Linked DNA regions of Drosophila melanogaster. The protein of the gene in region 2 purifies or fractionates together with the protein of the main gene of each other region. This does not show direct contact. Each region holds a gene or a part of one and is shown on either strand. Other genes may lie near its edges.

What was found.
Region 1: the proteins of p38c (region 2) and P58IPK purify together in Drosophila melanogaster (affinity purification with mass spectrometry, with the first as the bait; one large-scale study listed by BioGRID). This does not show direct contact.
Region 3: the proteins of p38c (region 2) and betaTub97EF purify together in Drosophila melanogaster (affinity purification with mass spectrometry, with the first as the bait; one large-scale study listed by BioGRID). This does not show direct contact.
Region 4: the proteins of p38c (region 2) and ps purify together in Drosophila melanogaster (affinity purification with mass spectrometry, with the first as the bait; one large-scale study listed by BioGRID). This does not show direct contact.

The regions. Positions count from the first base shown.
Region 1 is NT_033777.3:9,585,049-9,590,095, reverse strand, and holds P58IPK (P58IPK), read right to left. Parts: upstream 3,155-5,047; 5' UTR 2,734-3,154; coding exon 2,637-2,733; intron 2,574-2,636; coding exon 2,460-2,573; intron 2,100-2,459; coding exon 814-2,099; 3' UTR 515-813; downstream 1-514. Other genes in the region: bocks (bocksbeutel), read left to right, coding at 1-366; CG8301 (uncharacterized protein), read right to left, coding at 4,055-4,140, 4,198-4,347, 4,410-4,880.
Region 2 is NT_033777.3:24,148,493-24,152,108, reverse strand, and holds p38c (p38c MAP kinase), read left to right. Parts: upstream 1-1,905; 5' UTR 1,906-1,926; coding exon 1,927-2,997; 3' UTR 2,998-3,089; downstream 3,090-3,616. Other genes in the region: p38a MAP kinase, read left to right, coding at 407-1,507; Slimp (Seryl-tRNA synthetase-like insect mitochondrial protein), read left to right, coding at 3,208-3,616. UniProt on the Drosophila melanogaster protein: Kinase involved in a signal transduction pathway.
Region 3 is NT_033777.3:27,985,385-27,990,255, forward strand, and holds the start of betaTub97EF (beta-Tubulin at 97EF), read right to left. Parts: upstream 3,001-4,871; 5' UTR 2,772-3,000; coding exon 2,715-2,771; intron 1-2,714. Other genes in the region: CG4815 (uncharacterized protein), read right to left, coding at 4,382-4,871.
Region 4 is NT_033777.3:9,430,879-9,435,658, reverse strand, and holds the start of ps (pasilla), read right to left. Parts: upstream 3,058-4,780; 5' UTR 2,938-3,057; coding exon of another isoform or gene 2,820-2,937; intron 1,394-2,819; exon of another isoform or gene 1,256-1,393; coding exon of another isoform or gene 1,237-1,255; intron 1-1,236. UniProt on the Drosophila melanogaster protein: Functions to regulate alternative splicing in neurons by binding pre-mRNA in a sequence-specific manner to activate exon inclusion.

The DNA.
Region 1 (5,047 bases), about 15 Mb from region 2:
GTTCCAGTTAGTGGATCCAATCTGGCCCGTGGTCGCCTGCTCCAGCCGACCACCGCAGTAAACACTCTATATCCACAACTAAATGAATTCTACGATCAGCCGAATGACGCAGGCGAACCCATGGAGACGGAGAGCGAGTCCGAAGTCGAGGAAGTACCCATCAATAGCCATTTCCAAAAGAATCGCTTCTCGCCGCTGGCTAGAAAACCTCTGGTAAGACACCACGATCAGGTTTCGCCTATGGCGCAGTTCCGTGCACTGGCGGTGTCATTGGATCAAAAATATAATCTCAAATTCTACTTAATATTGGTAGTGTCAGTGATGCTGGCCACCATGGTGTACGTGGTATTGACACCCAACGCCTGAGAAGCGTTCATATCGCGGAATACATTTGGTTTTGGTTACTCCACGCATTTCAACCACAGACTACAGCGAAGGAATATTTATGACGACTTTGCACCTTAAGACTACTACTTCAATTCCAAACATGTTCAAAACTAACAAATATTCAACTCAATTTGCCAAGTCTTTAATTGCTTGTTCTCGCATATTGTTTCTTTTTATACATAATTAGAAAAATGTACTACATTATAATTATTGTATTGTATTAAATAAACTAATTAAATGTAAGTGCTCAGTGTGTTTTGTTGCGATTTGTGTTTGTTTGTGGTACTCTCTGACAACGGACCATGGGTTTATTTATGCTTTATGCTACTATTTACACGCCATTTAAATGAACAAAACAGTGTAAAATCGTTAAAGGATATCGGGGATCGCGGCTAGGACATCACAAAGCAAATGGCTGCTGGCTGACTAATTGAAGTGGAACTTGAACTGGAACGGCGACCCGTGTTGGAAGTGTCCAAACGGATGTTCGCCATGGAAGCCGCCACGCTGATTGCTCTCAGGATCTAATGGATCCTCGCCGTTGTCGAATTGACGACGCTTCTCGGGATCCGTGAGAACCTCCTTGGCTGCGGCAATGTCAATAAACTTTTTCTCGGCCACCTTCTTTTCCTCGTCGCGGAAGTTGTCCGGATGCCACTTTTGCGCCGCCTTCCTGTAGGCCTTCACAATCTCCTGTTTGCTGGCGCTACGCTTAACGCCTAATATCTTATAGTAATCCCTGCGCTCTGACTGCTTCTGCAGCTTCTTTGCCCTCTGGATGCCTTCTTTAGCGCGGGTGTTGCTCTCTTCCAGGTCGAGAGCTGCTTGGAAGGAGTGTATGGCATCGTCGTACATTTCGGTGCCCAGCAATGCGTCAGCACGATCACAGTAGACCTGAGCATCCTTCATAATATCCAGTGCCTCCTTGCACTGTTGCAAAGCCTTGCCAAACTGCTCGTCGCCCGTGTAGCAAGTGCAGAGCACCTTGTGTCCCTCATACCGGATCATCGTCTCCTCCGGCTCGTTACGCAGGACTGCCTCTCCGGCGGCTATGCACTCGGCAAAATGCTTCTCCTCACGCGCTTGCTCTGCGTTAACCAGCTGCTTTTCCACCTTTCGTAGTTTCTTGTAGAAGGGGAAGCAGAGCTTGTGTTCCGGGTCGAACTTCAGGCACTCGCGGATCTCTTTTAAGGCATTTGTGGCGTGGCCAATTGTGTACAGCAGCTGTGCAATCTTGTAGTGACCCTCAGTGCTGTCCTGGGTGAGTCGGTTCACCTGTCGCAAGTCAGCAATGGCTAACAGTGGATCATTGATTGCAATGTAGGCATCAGAGCGAGCCTGCCGGAAGGGCACAGCCCACGGCGAGATCTCTAGCAACTGTGTGATCATGGGGATGGCGTTTTGGTGATCACTGTATTGGATCAGCTGCTGTACAAGGACCCACTGCTCCTGGGCGGGTGCCAAGCGGGAATAGTGCTCCAGCACCAAGCCGTTGTTGGGTTCCTCTTGAAGGACTTGATCAAAGTCCTGGATCGCTTGCTCGTACTCTCCGCTCTTCATGTGCACAACACCCCGCTGGATTCGGGCGGCCATAAAGTCTGGCTTCAGTTCCAGCACCCTGCTGAAATCCTGGACGGCAAAGCGCGTCTTGCCCAGCGCCAAATAGACGGTGCCGCGCTTGAAAAGCGTCAGATAGTTGTTGGCATCGCCCTCTGTGAAAATGATAATGGTTAAATCAATGACGAGGGCATAGAAAGGCTAAAAAATATCCTAGCACAAATGAATGTAGTCCTAAACAAAAGTTTACCAAATTAATGTTATCATCAAATTCAAGACAAAAGATACAAGTTTGTTTATTGACCTTGGCATTTGCAAAACATGGTTATGTTTTAAACCATACGATTCTATGATTTGTTAATCAAAAATAATTAAAATCTTTATAAAATATTTAGATTCGTTGCCAATGGACACTTTTGAACGCGATGTTATGTAAATTCACGTGAATTAAAGAATATAAATGTATTGTCATAGATATTCCGATTCTTTCGTGTGTACAAGCCAGTTATATTTACCAACAGCTGCATGGTAGTGCGTCAGTGCATCCGACAGCTGTCCGCGGGCGAGGAACTCCTTGCCCAGCTCCAGATGGTTCTCAATATCCGCTGGACTGGCCGTCGACTCGGCGCCTGAGCGAGAAACAATGACGTGTATTTCAGATGCCTTCGAAGATAAGGATTTGAAGTACGTACCTTCCAGGAAGAGCTCCAGCAGGAGCAGCACCAGGCAGGCAGCCAATTTCTTCTCGCCGCCGCCGATCATGAGCAGGTCACTCAATGGCAAGGCCATGACGATGGCTACGTGTACTTAGATGCCCCCGCAAAAAACCAGTGTGGGCGTGATTTGGAGTTGATTCCCAATCGACACGCACGTCGAATCTGCTTGGCGTGGCAGCTTCTAATCTCTACGGTCGCACCGCTTCCCCTCCTGCACATCAACTTTCACTGGCGGCTTTATTTTCAGCTCGCTGTTATGGATTTTGCGTCCGTTTTTGGTAAACTTGCGGCGCCGTCTGCGATGATTATTCGGTAATTTCTGACTTGGTCAGCTGATTGTTTTGACTGTCTGTGTGTTATGGAGTTTAGATGGTACTCCCCATGGGCATTGCAGCCACTTCTAGTTCGGAATCGCGACCGCTGTGCACTGAACTTTTCGCTTATAAATATTATAAACTAAAAACTGACGTGTTCACGTTCTCTAGGGATGGGCGAATTTTGGCCGCAGGTGATACAAGTCACTGGTTCTTCACGCAGTCACGAGTCGCAACTATCGGATGTGGGCGACGGCAGTGCTGGCAGCTTTTGGCTGTTGTCTAGCTACAACTGATCAAAAGAAATTTCATAATAAATGAAGTAAATTATTTAGATCGCACTACACAAGTCATTAAAGTAGAACTAGCTTTTTGACGCTATTTTAAAGCTAGTTCTGCAATCATTGCAAAAAGCTGTCTAAACCAATCGATTTCTGCCGCCCAACTAAAAAAGTAACGGCAATTCAAACTTTGGTCACATGAATGTTTATTCGGAACATGAATTTGGTAAATATATCTGCAACTACACATAATAAAATCCATAGTATATTGATATTTTAAATATTCTTATACATTTTCGGTAATTATTGTAAATACTTATCGGTTTCATCTGGAAATAAATGCATTTCTTGAGCATTAAAAGTTCGCCGCGAAGCTTAGATTGCTCGTATAACATCTTGTATGTTCTCATTGCTTATTTCTTATCGCTAAGTGGTCAAATGGATATATGTATGTATGTGCTGGTAGTGTTTAAAGGCGTTCTGTGAGATTAATATGGCTCAGAGTTAGAAAGAGATATGCGGCTGGAGTGCCTTAGGGACCGATCGAAGAAATGGACAGAGATATAGCTATATGGTTTATGCCCTACGGAATATCCACTAAATAAAGCTCTAAGCACTTTCACGTTCCAGAGATCGCTGCGTGTGTGCATATGGTCTAGTAAGTGTAATTGGATGGAGGGTACATGTATGTATATGGTCTATGTAAGCTTGAGTTTCGGGAGCTACGCTCCAATGCATTGCAGTTTCTGCACTGTGCTTGGCTACAACAGAAATCTATGCTGTTTGCTGTTCCACTTGGTTAGGAAATCACAATGTTGATCAGATCGTCCAGAGGCTGGTCCGCCGAGTGCGGCTGAGAGGCGGCGTGTGCCTTTTGCATGTGAGCTGGAAGTGATGTTCATCTATATGGAAGGGCATCATTGAGTGATTTCGCATACATACTCTTGAGCTTAATGTGCGTGACAAATCTTTCCTGACAGAGATCGCATTTGTAGTAGGTTTTGCCCGTGTGAGTTCGCTGATGCAGCCGCAATGACTTCTCAAACAGATAGGCTCGACCGCAAACGTTGCACTTGAAGTTCTTCTCCAAGACTGTAAAAGATTGATGTATTACATGTTTCTAATAATACATATGTACATGTGGACATCCTTACCCTCGTGACTCAAGCGATGCTGGGTGAGCACATACTTGAGGGCGAATGCCTTGCCGCAAACATCGCACACATTGGGCTTCTCCTTCTCGTGGGTCTTGATGTGCCACTTCATGTCCTGGGCGCGCTTGAACCGCTTGGAACAGTGCGGGCAGGCGTGCGGTCGATCCTTCTCGGAATGCACGGCAGCGTGCCGCTCCAGAGCGGACTTCATGTTGAACCTCTGGCTGCAGCTGCCGCACTGAAAGAGTCCGGAGTACTGGCGTTCCCGCTTCTGTTGCAGCACCCGTTTGTTGTTCGCTATGATGGGAGCGCCAGGACGCTGCAAGTGCTCCGCGGACATGTGGTGGATCAAATCCGGTTCGCTGGAGAAGGGCTGGCGGCACAGCATGCACTCACTCCGCTCGATGGCAGTCAGGTTCTCCCTGTGCCGCTCCAGCATGTGAATCCTTTTCTCCGCATAGGATGCAAAGACTGTTGGGATTGGACAAAAATGGGTTTAGCATCCATTGGCACATAGATAACGGATGGCTAGTCGTAGAGGGTGTCATGAAGTAGAAAACTCGGAAAAATGTATCGTCCTGAAGGTAGGAAGTAAAGTTGGTGAAGAAAAATAAAACTGTGGTAACGTAATGGATGAA
Region 2 (3,616 bases):
CAATGCAATGATATGGTTAATATATTATTTTATTTATTTACTTATATATTAAGGATTTTTTTTAATATCGTGCCAAAAATGATTTTAACAACTTTACTCTGATCAAATGTAGCGCATTCGTGTGTCGCTTCTGATCGATCTGATCCACTGACGATCTGATTCATGAATGCCTAACACGCATCGGAATGGAGTAATAGCGCAAATATAGGAAAAATGCCAGGGACCAGTACTTAGTTGTTGATATTCTTGGGCGTGGAACAGAGGTAAGTACTACTGACGCAGAGCTGCCTCAAGATAAACGTAATCAGCATGGAATTATCGTTCGCATGGCATTTTAAGAATCAATACATATCTCGCTTATAGGCACCATTAACTAAGGTGACGACGCCCTTCCTCAAGCAATACCATGTCAGTGTCCATTACAAAAAAGTTTTACAAGTTGGATATAAATCGAACGGAATGGGAGATCCCGGATATATACCAGGATCTGCAGCCCGTGGGATCGGGAGCTTACGGACAGGTGTCAAAGGCAGTTGTTCGTGGCACCAATATGCATGTGGCCATTAAAAAGCTTGCCAGGCCTTTTCAATCAGCTGTCCATGCAAAGAGGACGTACCGGGAGCTTCGACTTTTAAAGCATATGGATCATGAGAACGTAATCGGTCTGCTGGACATATTCCATCCACATCCCGCTAATGGATCGCTGGAGAACTTCCAACAGGTGTACTTGGTTACCCACTTGATGGACGCAGATCTGAACAACATCATACGGATGCAGCACTTGTCCGACGACCACGTCCAGTTTTTAGTCTACCAGATACTCCGTGGCTTGAAGTATATCCACAGCGCCGGAGTGATCCACCGTGATCTTAAGCCCTCAAACATTGCCGTCAACGAGGATTGCGAGCTGCGCATTCTAGACTTCGGGCTGGCCCGCCCAACGGAGAACGAGATGACAGGCTATGTGGCCACGCGTTGGTACCGGGCACCTGAAATAATGCTCAATTGGATGCACTACGACCAAACAGTGGACATCTGGTCGGTGGGCTGCATCATGGCCGAACTAATTACCAGACGAACCCTCTTCCCAGGCACCGACCATATTCACCAGCTAAACCTGATTATGGAGATGTTGGGCACGCCACCCGCCGAATTTTTGAAGAAGATCTCATCGGAAAGTGCACGTTCCTACATCCAGTCACTTCCGCCTATGAAGGGACGAAGTTTTAAAAATGTTTTTAAGAACGCCAATCCGCTGGCCATTGATTTGCTGGAAAAGATGTTGGAGCTAGATGCCGAAAAGCGGATCACAGCCGAGGAGGCTCTTTCCCATCCATATCTGGAGAAGTATGCGGAGCCCAGCGTCGAGCAGACCTCACCACCATACGATCACAGCTTCGAGGATATGGATTTGCCCGTAGACAAATGGAAGGAATTGATCTACAAGGAGGTCACCAACTTTAAGCCCCCACCATCGTATGCTCAGGTTCTAAAGGATGTAAAGTGAACACAAACCATCAAGAATTTAAAGTATTACATAGGCCAATTTATTTGTTATAGCCTTTATGTTCCAACCATGTCTTTTGTACTCAAATTTATCAATTCTTAGTGTTAACTTTTTATTTTGTTTTTTTGCTGCTTACTGCTTATTTAACAAAAAATTTGTTTTATAAAAACATCAAGTTATTCAACTAAAAACCTTATTTTTGTCACCTCTTGGGCAGGATCTTTGGGTCTATAGCATATGTGTGTATCTCCGGTCATACAGATGACTGAATCGAACAAGTTTAGTGTTCTGTCAGTCGAATGTGCACTGATAGATAAGGTGTTGAGAAAAGATAAGAGTTTAGCGGGTGACTAAATGCAAGCTCAGTTTTCTTTCTGTTTCCTTTCGTAGAAGACATATTTTTGCACATTTAATCCAGAATGCCGGAGTTCGTGAGAGTGGCAATTAACGAAAGCCTTTGGGAGTTCCCGGATATATACGAGTTCGTTCGTTTTCTGGGTGGCGGTTCCTTTGGCCAGGTGGCTAAGGTGAGACTACGAGGCACTGAAAATTACTTCGCTATGAAAAGGCTTATGCGCCCATTCGAGAGGGAGGAGGATGCTAAGGGTACCTATCGCGAGATCCGTCTGCTGAAGCACATGAATCATCGAAATGTTATCAGCCTGCTGAACGTCTTCCATCCACCAGCGCACAACATGATGGAATTTCAGCAGGTTTATTTGGTGACTCACCTGATGGACGCGGATTTGCACAGGTACTCGCGTTCGAAAAGGATGAGCGATCAAGAGATTAGGATAATCCTTTACCAAATACTGCGGGGACTGAAGTACATACATAGTGCCGGGGTTGTTCATCGAGACTTAAAGCCCTGCAATATCGCAGTTAATGGAAATAGCGAGGTGCGCATACTTGACTTCGGTTTATCCCGTATGTGCGCAGACAAAATGACGGACCATGTTGGAACTATGTGGTATCTAGCTCCGGAAATTATCTTTTTAAGGGGTCAATACACAAAGGCAATTGACGTGTGGTCGGTTGGTTGCATTCTGGCGGAACTTATCACGGATCGTGTCCTGTTTCGCGGTGAAAACTATGTAAGCCAAATACGATGTCTGATTAACATAATGGGTACTCCGACGAGGGAGTTTATCACCGGGATAAGCATGGAACGTTCGCGTAATTACCTGGAGGGGTACCCGTTACGACAAAGGTGCGATTTTCATCACCTGTTTATGGGTTACGATGTCCAGGCCATCGATTTGATGGAAAAAATGCTCGAAATGGTACCCGAAAAACGTATCACAGCTGCGGAAGCAATGCTCCATCCATACCTTCGGGATCTTATTGAGCCACACCATCATGCCGAAGACACCGCACCAGTCTATGATCAGAACTTCGAAAACATGGTACTGCCTGTAAAATGCTGGAAAGAACTTGTTTCCCACGAGATTCGGAACTTCAGACCTGACCAACTTGATTTGCATTTTTAAAATGCCGTAGTTAATGTAGCAGAAGTAATAAATTTTAAATTAATTAAATGAACAAATTTTTCACAAAATTAAATTAAAAACTGGATATTCATAAATTTAAACATTGAAATCATTGAAATACCCCTATTAAATCTTCCGGATCTGGCAGCGCTGGCGACAGCTGATTTTGCCTTACCGGCTTATTTTATTTTGCATTCGATAATAAAAATAATGTTGAGCCTGCGAAGTGTATTAAAACACTGCCTTTCGGCAAAGAAAACGTGTAGCAGAAACATCTCCGCGCTGTACATAACCGGCGATAAAGCGAACGAAAACTATGTGACTCTGCAGCCGTACATGGACTTCAATAAAACCTTTGGAGAGCGGCAATTTTTGGAGCAGAGCATCTCCAGCCGGGGATTGGACATTCGTTTGGAAACTGTGCTCAGCAAGTACGAGAAGTATAAAACACATCACGCTCAGCTGTCCAAGGTGGCGGAGGAACGCGAAAGGGTGACCAAGCGCCTAAAGGAGCTAACGAAATCTGGTAGTAGTGCGGTTCAGCTGGAGGAGTTGAAAGAGCATGGGAAATCGTTGCGCAATGAGCTAAAGGCTCTGAAGCAGACTCTCTATCCCATAG
Region 3 (4,871 bases), 3.8 Mb from region 2:
CTGCCATTATGGGCCAAACAAACGTATCCTGGGGCAGACTATATGGGTGTGCCACACTGCATGCCACACTGGCTAAAAGGAGCCGTTGCAGCCTGGCTTATTCCACTCTTTAATTTTATTGTCTGTTCTTGCTTGACTTTCTCCGCTTTCCCCTTTTGCTCCCATTTTCTACGTTCTGCTCGTCTATAAATTTCTCCGCCATGGTGGCACAACGCTTTTCCTTCGGCTTTATGCCGTGCCCGTAAATAGATTTTCCTTGTTATTGTTCACAAAATGATTTAGGGAAAATTAGGTTTATGTAAATAATGAAGAAAAAGAAAAACGAACTCTAGCTGCAGGCCAAAATATCCTTGGATAGATGCCTTTGCCTCGCTCGATACATACATACATACATATGTGATCAATTTCGTGGTGTTGGCAGAGGAAGGCCGGAAGACGTTTTCGACGGCATTTTGCCATATTTAATCGAAGCCAAGAGAATGGCTTAAATTGCTGTCTGCCTTAAAATCGAATTGAACTTAACGTGATTCAATGAAAACATTATGTTTACAAAACATGCGTACGCTGCCGGGATTTCAATTGTTAAGCTCTGTTTTTATAATTACAATCCATTCTGTTTGCAGCCCGTTCATGTGTGAATAAGCTCTGCTCTTAATGTGTAATCAATCTGTTAAGTTTTTTTTTTTTATTTGCTTATTGGCCTTTATCAGCGGAGCAATTAGTTTTGAAAATTTATTTAAAAATCACATTCACCATTTACGCCATTCACCATTGTGCAAACTATTTTGCCACGTAGGCAGTTTTGCACATTTATTATTTGTTTATTCTAGGCTGCAACAATATTTCATACTGACAGCCAATTAATCAGAAAAGGACATTCAATTAAGGCACAAAATCGGGCAGTGTGCAAAAAAAAAAAAAAAAAAAAAAAACAACACAAGAGCATGAATAGGACATGCAACAAAATATGTTCGCCATTATTATATTCAAATTTAATGCACCAACAAACAGGCTTTATGCCATCTATAAAAATTCGATAAGCGCAAATTGCATAAATAATCGTATTTATTTTTTAACTGCACAATAGCTACACATAACAATGGCCGCAAAATATGGATGTAATAATGCTCTGATTCGGGGGCGTACAAAATCGGATGTTGGGCTTGGCTTATCCCGGAAAAGTGCGTTCTAATTAACTGCAAAAGGCAGTGGTGAAAACACGCAAAAAAGTACTTTAAAATATGTGGAAATGTGTTTGCATAAAACTCAAGAGGAAAAGCGCGCAATGCGAGCGCAAAGAGAAACGGTCAGAGAAAACTGCTCTGGGAAATGCCGGGAAAAAGACAAAAACATATAAAAAAAATAAGCATTATAAAAACAAAAACTGTGTCAAACGTCAACGACTTTTTGTAGCTGGATTTTCATGACGCAGCAAATTGTGCGAGTTAATGTTAATGCGCTGAATTAGCTTAGAATGGGCGCTGTTTTCATTTCCACTCCTCTAATTGCCCGCAAACATGCTGCCGCTTTTCTACTCAAAATACCAGAACACACTATGTAATTGCTATTTTCGGCGCAACCCATATCAGTTCTTACTTTTCGGGTATTTATGTTTAAAGTTGTGTAAACAAGCCCACTGATTAGAGGCCGCCGATAGTGAAAGCAGCGCACACATAAGCCCGCCACTTTGTCACAGTCAGCCATGAATCAGATACATATATCGGTTCAAGATACAGATACATTATTTACAAGCCCCTCTGTCGTAATTAGAAGTACCCACGAAACCTTCGACGAGTTCTTTATGACAGTAAGATCAGCCAACTGTGCGAGGGCAAACATCATAAAAGCCTGTGAAAAGTACTAGTTTACAGAACCAGTTAGTTGTGTTAATTGTCCAAAAGACGGAAGTTTCTGAGAAACCTTCGAGCCAGTTTCAAAATGCTACTAACAGGGCACTAAGCTGCCGCATTTTACTCTGAGTTCCCGCCAAAAATACTTGGTTCACAGATCGGATTTCTTGAAACGAGAAACCTCCAGGTACACTGAAAAAAAAATATCAACTTCTATTCTATAATAACAAATGAATAAAAAGGATCTGTAATTCAATTTTAAATCATAATTGTGTTTAAATGGAAACTACTTTATAACGATTAAATAATCATATAAAGTTTATTTATCTTTTTAAAGGTACTACTTTTTTTCTTGCTGTGCAGATTTGCATAGCCGGCTGATCACAAGCTCTCAACTGAGCGGCGATCTAATTGTTTACACCTGACTGAGGTGATTTTGCTTAGTTTGCGAGCGGATTTCTGGGTTTAATTCACTGCGATATGCTGCGAGTCCAAGGTAATTTAAATGCGATACTTTAAGGTTGCTGATATTCGTATCTTGCGAGCGATAAGATAAGTGCCAAGTACGTTAGGTTTCTTCAATGTTTTGCAGTTTTATAGTTTCCCGAACTGGCAAAATAATCTATGCCACCCCCCACCAACCCCCCACCCATTTTAATTGCTGGCCACTAAAAACAAAACGTGAAAAGCCAAGAGAGAGAGAGAGAGAGAGAAAGTCGCAGTGAGAGAGGCAAAGAGCGCTCTTTCTTCATTTCCCCCTGTTTTATAATTAAACATGTGAGGTTAGGATAGTAGCGAAAAGTAGCTATAAAATAGAGCAAAGGTCTGTGATGCGAACACCGATGGAATATCAATTATACGCACCTTCGAACCGATCTGATTGCCGCACTGGCCCGCCTGCAGATGCACAATTTCCCTCATTTCGCAAATGAACTAGTAACTTTTGGCAGCCAAACTTAACTCAATTGAACACACTGACGCACACACGCACTATCAGCAATTATCAGCCACTATATCAATCTGAATCTGAATCCGAATCTGAGTCACAATCGGTCACGCATTCGGTTGAATCCGGTGAAGAGTCGGAGGAGAGCTTTTCGTGAGCAGAACGATCGACACGCGTTCGCTTTGAGAATCCAACGTGAACTGAATGAATGGCGAGAAACCGAACGCGACCCGCTGGGGAATTTGTGCTCTACGGTTAAAGGGGGCCGCATTAGTTTTCCACTCGGAAAAATATTTATAAAAAAATGCCTTTACAAATTGGCATGATAAGAAATGATAAAATTATGGTTTGCAATCTTAGATTAATATATTGTAGATAGTTTTGGTGATGTATTGAATTTAGTATAACAATTTTTCATATCAAACAGATGATCAGAGATCAGAGTTCTAAAAATACAAAAGTTTTTACAAAGAAACTTTTGTTACTCTTAAAAATTATAAATATTATAGTTGTAATAACGTGCTGCTGTTATCTTGGGCACAGCTGTATATACATTTTTAGAGTCCCTATAAAACAGGTTTATTTTATTAAACAGGTTATTATTTTTTTTTTACAGGTGGAACATTTCATTAATACATGACCCAAATTACATCAATACTTTAGATAAAGATTATTAATTAGAACGTTGGTTATGTTTAAAACAATGCCTCTTAAATGATGAACAATAAAAACAAATTTCATTCGAAAACCTATGAATACCCGAACCATTTATTCATGCTAAGTTCCTCTTCATTAGTGAGTATATTTATTTGAATCACTATCCAAAATTGCGGCAATATCTTCCCTGATTTCTCGAAGTGCAGAGAGCGCGAAGAGCAGAGGTCGTAAATACATTAGTTTAAGTGAAACTGTGGGACAAAACAAGATATTTTCCATAGCAGCGTGTTTGTCTTCCCGCTTTTCCCGACTTTTCCCCTTTATCGTATGATTTTTACCGGCTAGGCGCCAACAATGCAATTCTTTCTCTCCCATCTTACGCTTCGCTGAGCTGGTGAGAATTCTTAGGGAAAAGATAGAGAGAGGGGAGAGAAAGAAGAGAGTCGAAGAATGAGGTAACAGCACGTGAGTCTAAGGTGCAAAGAGCGCCACATTCTACATTCTACAACTGCATTCTTCAATCAGATTTGTAGAATTGTACATGGACGTACAAGATTGAAATGTAGCCAAATGTAAAAATGTAATTGAAATATATAAAGTTAGTTGTTTGAGTATTGAACATATATTTTATTATATGCTATTTAATCAGTATATTTTTGTTTTCCAATTACAACCTTGTAAATCATAGAATCGTAGCTTGAACAAACCAAACTTATCTACATGAATAATTGGAAGCGGTTTAGTTAGTCATTTTAGACATCTAGGTTATCAGCTTCATGAGATTGACAATAAAAAACGCTGCTGAAATGGAATAACATGAAGTCTGTCGAGTCACACACACTTAATACCAGTTTAAAATTTAATTTATGACTAAGTTGTAAACTTAGATAGACAGTATTTTTATTTTGTGATACTCAAATAAATTTCTTCAAAAGCCCATTCTGTTAATAGTTCTTTTAATAAACTTGGCGTAGTATCGCACACCCATGTATACGTCTGGCTTTTCGTTGTTGCCGCATTTGAAAGTCCACGTGTTGATGCCACAAACTTGCCGCCCCAACAGAAGTGGTCCACCGGAGTCGCCGAAGCAGAGAGTCTTGTTGTTGTAGGCACCGGCACAGATGATATTGGGTGGCATCTTGCGATCCAGCTGCTTCTCGCAATCTCGTTTACTCACAATACCAACTTTCATCGAGCGAAATGTTTTCTTCCTGGACTCATCCCAAACGCCGCCTTCGAATCCCCAACCGGCTGCAATGAGTTTATCCCTTGGATGCAGTACCGATCGACAGAGCTGGGCGTAGCCGATGTACTTGCTCCTCAAGGGATACTTGGTCTTCGCCACCGCGACATCCGCGATGAATTTCATTTTCGCATATTTCGGATGAATTTGCACCCTTATAAGTTTATTCTTGTTG
Region 4 (4,780 bases), about 15 Mb from region 2:
GCCATCGAGGCAACCAACCCAGTTCTACAGGACCCACCACTCAAGGACGTTGCTGCTGCGTTTGCGGCTGCTGCGGCTGCATCGGCTGCTGTGGCAGCTGCAATGGCGCCAAATGCTGCAGTGCAGCTGAATGGTCGCCGCGTTCGAGGAGTTCGAGTCGTCCTACTGCGCAGGACCCTTCCTAGACGAAAAGCACCGAGCAAAGGCAGGCAGGCAAGCAGCGATGGCAGCGGAGCGACCACAGGCACACACAGATACAGATACAGATACACGTACGCACCCGCATTGTCATCAAAGTAGGTCAACCGCTTGCCATGCTGTCAACGTTTGCCGAGAGCAGCTCTCGCTTCTCTCTCTTACGGCGAACTAGAGTTCGCTACAGTATACACCCCCAACTATTCGCACGCTTTTCCAGCTGCCCTGCCAGTACTGATTACATAAGCCACGCCACCAGTCGTCCAAAACCTCCACGCTGACCCACCGCCCCGATTTTCCTCGATTTTACTGCATTTCCTTTGCAGCAGCCCCGCCAACTGACGCATTTCTAGTCCAGGCTACACGGAAAACAATAAGTCAAAAAAAAATTAAGTATATGGTAAAGAGTTGAATTCTTGCTTAAAAGAATTGTTGACAAAAAGTTGTTTGAATTTCCTAACTTCTTTGGATTAAACTTTAAAACCTTACACCTTAAATACTTATTAGAATTTAAGAAGATTATTTTTCTCTGTGCATCTCAAAAACTTTGCGCTGCTCTCTCACCAACCAGCTACACAGAATTCCAGCCATGACAGTCATAAATAAGAAAAAACTGAAAAAATTAAATAGATAGCACACAAAAAACAAATGACTGTCAAGGCAGCTAAGCAAATAAATTGCCAGAAAACTAATAAAACGACGACGTGAGTAAATACCCAAAACCATATGACATGGACCTGTTCTCTGTCCAGCAAACAGGCAGCCTCAATGGTGGCTAATTAATTACAAATGCCCAGCTGTACACATACATGTAACGAATCTATTTATCTGGGCTCATCTATAATGCCATCGGTTTGAATGGAAACTGGCCAAACAAACAGCTGATAAAATGGCATTGTTCATAAGCAAACAAATTCTTAGGCAGAACTAACCCATTAACTATGGATGTCCCCGAGCATATAATATAGTGTCTGCTTTAATGAATGGAGTGGAGTATATGGAAATAAGTTATATTTGCCTATTTAACGAACTTGAACTTACTCGAACAAAGCTTCCGCATTCCAATTCACGAGATAAAACTTAAAATTTTTGATGCAACATTAAGACAACACTGGAATTTTGTTTTATTTTCTGTAGATATTTTTTTTTTTGGGATTTTAACACTTGACGTATTTGAGAGAGCCTGCTGTGATGAACGAAAACCGAGGACTAATCTACCCTTCATAATTTCCAATTGACAATTAGGAAACTCGAAAACACGTTTACACGCTTCTGGCTCTAGCCACTGCTATCCGTCTAAATACCAAAAGCCAGCGGGGGCGACAGTGCGACTCTAACACTTACACCTTTTGCTATTTTCGTGGCTATGACGACAGGTACTTCGATTGCGTAGTGGCATGCTCACCTTGGAGCTTGCCAGCTGGTTTTGAGCCGAACAAATCATGCAAAGCAACTAGTTAATAGCTTGTGGTCAGACCGACTGACCGACAGACTGACTGACAGACAGGCAGTATGGGTTTGGCAATGGAGCTCACGGATTGGGAGCTTCTTCTTTTAAATGCTAATCTCCATATGAATTTTTGTGACCCCCTCGGCTGTCCCGACTGCAGTTCAGTTTGTCGGATGAGTGAAGCAGGGAGGAGCTTTTCAAATGCCATTCGTTTGGACGTTCAGGGACGTGCACGGACAGCACTTGTATCTAATTGCAGGCCATTGATGAAGCTGCAGGAGATTGCAGGCGGAGGTCATGCCCAAAATTGGGTCAAACTGGGCCCACAATGTCTCGGCGCCAAATCCTGCGCAAAGATACAGCCGCCAGCCAGGCAGATACTACACTAGGTACTAGATACCGCTGTATGCCATATAACAGATGCCAGTTGTCATTTTAAGATGTACACTGTAGCTGTGTACGTGTAGAGGGGGCCCTCGGGGCGTATACGCCATATCTGGCTTAATTACGAATCAAAGTCTGCTGCCTGTTCGTTCGTTCGTTGGTTCGTTTGTTCGGTTGCAAAACTGACATCGAACGTATTGGGGGCAAACTGCAAATGAATTTCTCGTGCTGATTAATTGAATCTGAATAACAAACGACAACAGCAACAATAAATAACACGAGCGACAAACGACTAAAAGAAAAAAGTAAGAAAATCATAGATACTAAGTATATATATACATAGATATATGTAGGTACGCATATCGGGGGGATATATTGTGATAACAACAACAACAACAACAACATGACCACATAATAAAGAAGGGAAACGGCACGATCGGCAGAAAAGTTGGGCAAACAAATTGAATCAGTTATTTATACGCTTCGGAGATAAAAAAGCAATGGATAGATAAATAGATAACGAACGAGAGATAGATATACACAGAGCGTCGAGTTGAGGAGCTTAAGATTGATATTGAAACTGAGATTGAGATCGAGATTGAGATTGACAGAGAGAAAAAGAGAGAGCACGATAATGGGGATATGCAAGAGCGATTTGAGATATATATTTCAATTTCTTCCTTCTGCTGGCGAAATGAATTGAGTTTCGATTTCGATATTGATTTCGATTTGAATTTGAATTTGATTTTGAATTTTGATTTGGATTTGGATTGGATTTTGGTCAACTTACCGGAACTGAAATGTGAGCGTTTAGTTTGTTCATTTTCCGGATCGGAATCGAGTGGCCTTTTGCGTGAGTCGCCGGTTTCAGGACTTGGACATGTCTCCATGGTAGCGTCTTCGGCCATTTTTAACTGAATGTTGCTGGTTTTGGTTATCGACTTTGACTGATGATTGCTTTAGCTTTTTGCTTTGGGTTTCGTTGATCTGTTGATCTTACTGTTTACTTTTCAGTTTCTATGTCTCGTGGATTCGGCTTGATTTAATTTAATTGGATCTTGGATTGGATTGGATTGGCTTGGACTTGATTTGATTGAATTGAATTTGGTTGCTGTGCTTCTGGTTTTTTTTTTTTTTTTTTTTGTTAAACGACAACGAAACGTTCGATGTTTGGTAATGAGGCGTCTGTTTAGCTTTGTATTATTTGGTTTTTGGCTTGCTTGGTATTGTTTCTGGTATTTCTGTTTGGTTTTTTTGGTGCGTGCGAGCGAAAGAGCGATAGAGCGAGCGAGCGAGCGAACGAACGATCAAACGAGCGCAGGATGCGTCAGTCACTGTCCTTTAGTCCTAGTCCTCGTCCTCGTCCAATGGATGCGATGTAATTCGATTCGATGCCTTTATCGGGGGGAATCCGCCACTGGCATCTGTGAGATTGATGGGCTATGTGGATGAGGTCCTTGGTCCTTGGGTACGCTACTGATGCTGCCACTCATGCACACACATGGAGGTACAGCTATCGATCGCTATCAGTGACAGAGACAGTTCGTGTACGTCGCTATATATGCATATGCACATATATTGATACTCTATTTACGATCCTTCTATGTTTCAGTTTTAATTTCATTTAGTTTTTTATTTTTAGTTTTTGTTTGGTGGTTTTGTGGTGGAATGTGCGAGTTTTTTTTTTTAACGTTTATATGAAAAAAGAAAAAGAAAAAAATATTTATGAGTGAATTATGCAGCAATAATAAATATACATACAGTAAACATTTAGGCAATATATAGGTATGTTCTTCGCATTAAACTTGTAGATATAGATACAGTTGTCAGAGTGGCAATGCATTTTTCGAGTAGTAAAACACACACACATTTAGATAGGCACAAACATTTAAATTGGATCGATTTGATTTGATTTGTCTTGATCTTTCGTCTTCAAAAAAGCTATTTACAAAACGAGCAAGGCATCTTGCGAGATTGGTGGAAAAAAGGGGCGTGGCGGGATTCGGGTTGGACTGGGCGGATCTTTCAAAAGCGTGGATCGTGTTAGGCATTCACATATCAAAACGATACCGGGGCAGGCAGATGTGGGATAGAGACAGATCGGTTTGAAGCAATCTTGTGAGCGTTGAGAACGTGTAATAATGGAAAGCAGACGACAGGATGAATTACAGGAGTCCGCAGAAATAGTTTTGAAAGCAGGCCCCCTATAAGAAAGGATCCCGTGTGTGTGTATGAGGTTAGAAGGTCTGCGAAAACTCGGTACCTACACCTTATATTTAGGATCTTACAGCTACCTATTTTATTTGTTACTATAATACTGATTATACTGATTACTTAATCCGTTGAGTTCGACATAATGCTGGCCAATTTAAAATGTTGAGAAATCCTGCCGTACCGCGATGCTAATAATAACTCACTCTACTGCGCTTATGAATCGTTAATTTAAATTTGTTCCACCTAAGACCTATCTAAACGAGTCCGTACCCACGAAGCAGTTTTAGTTACTTATGAATACCTGAGCCAGTTTTGTTTTTTTTTTTTCATAATGGCATGGCAATGAAGCCCCAACTTGCAACTCAATTATGCATGAGATGTTTTATTTTATTATGATTTCATTGCTAATTAAAAATGCGACGACACAAAAACCGAAGCGCGACCAACAGAAACAGCAACAACAAAATCTGCATCAACGACTGACGACGCGCGTTTATTTGTTTAAAATGGCGTTTAATTATACAAACATTTTTATAT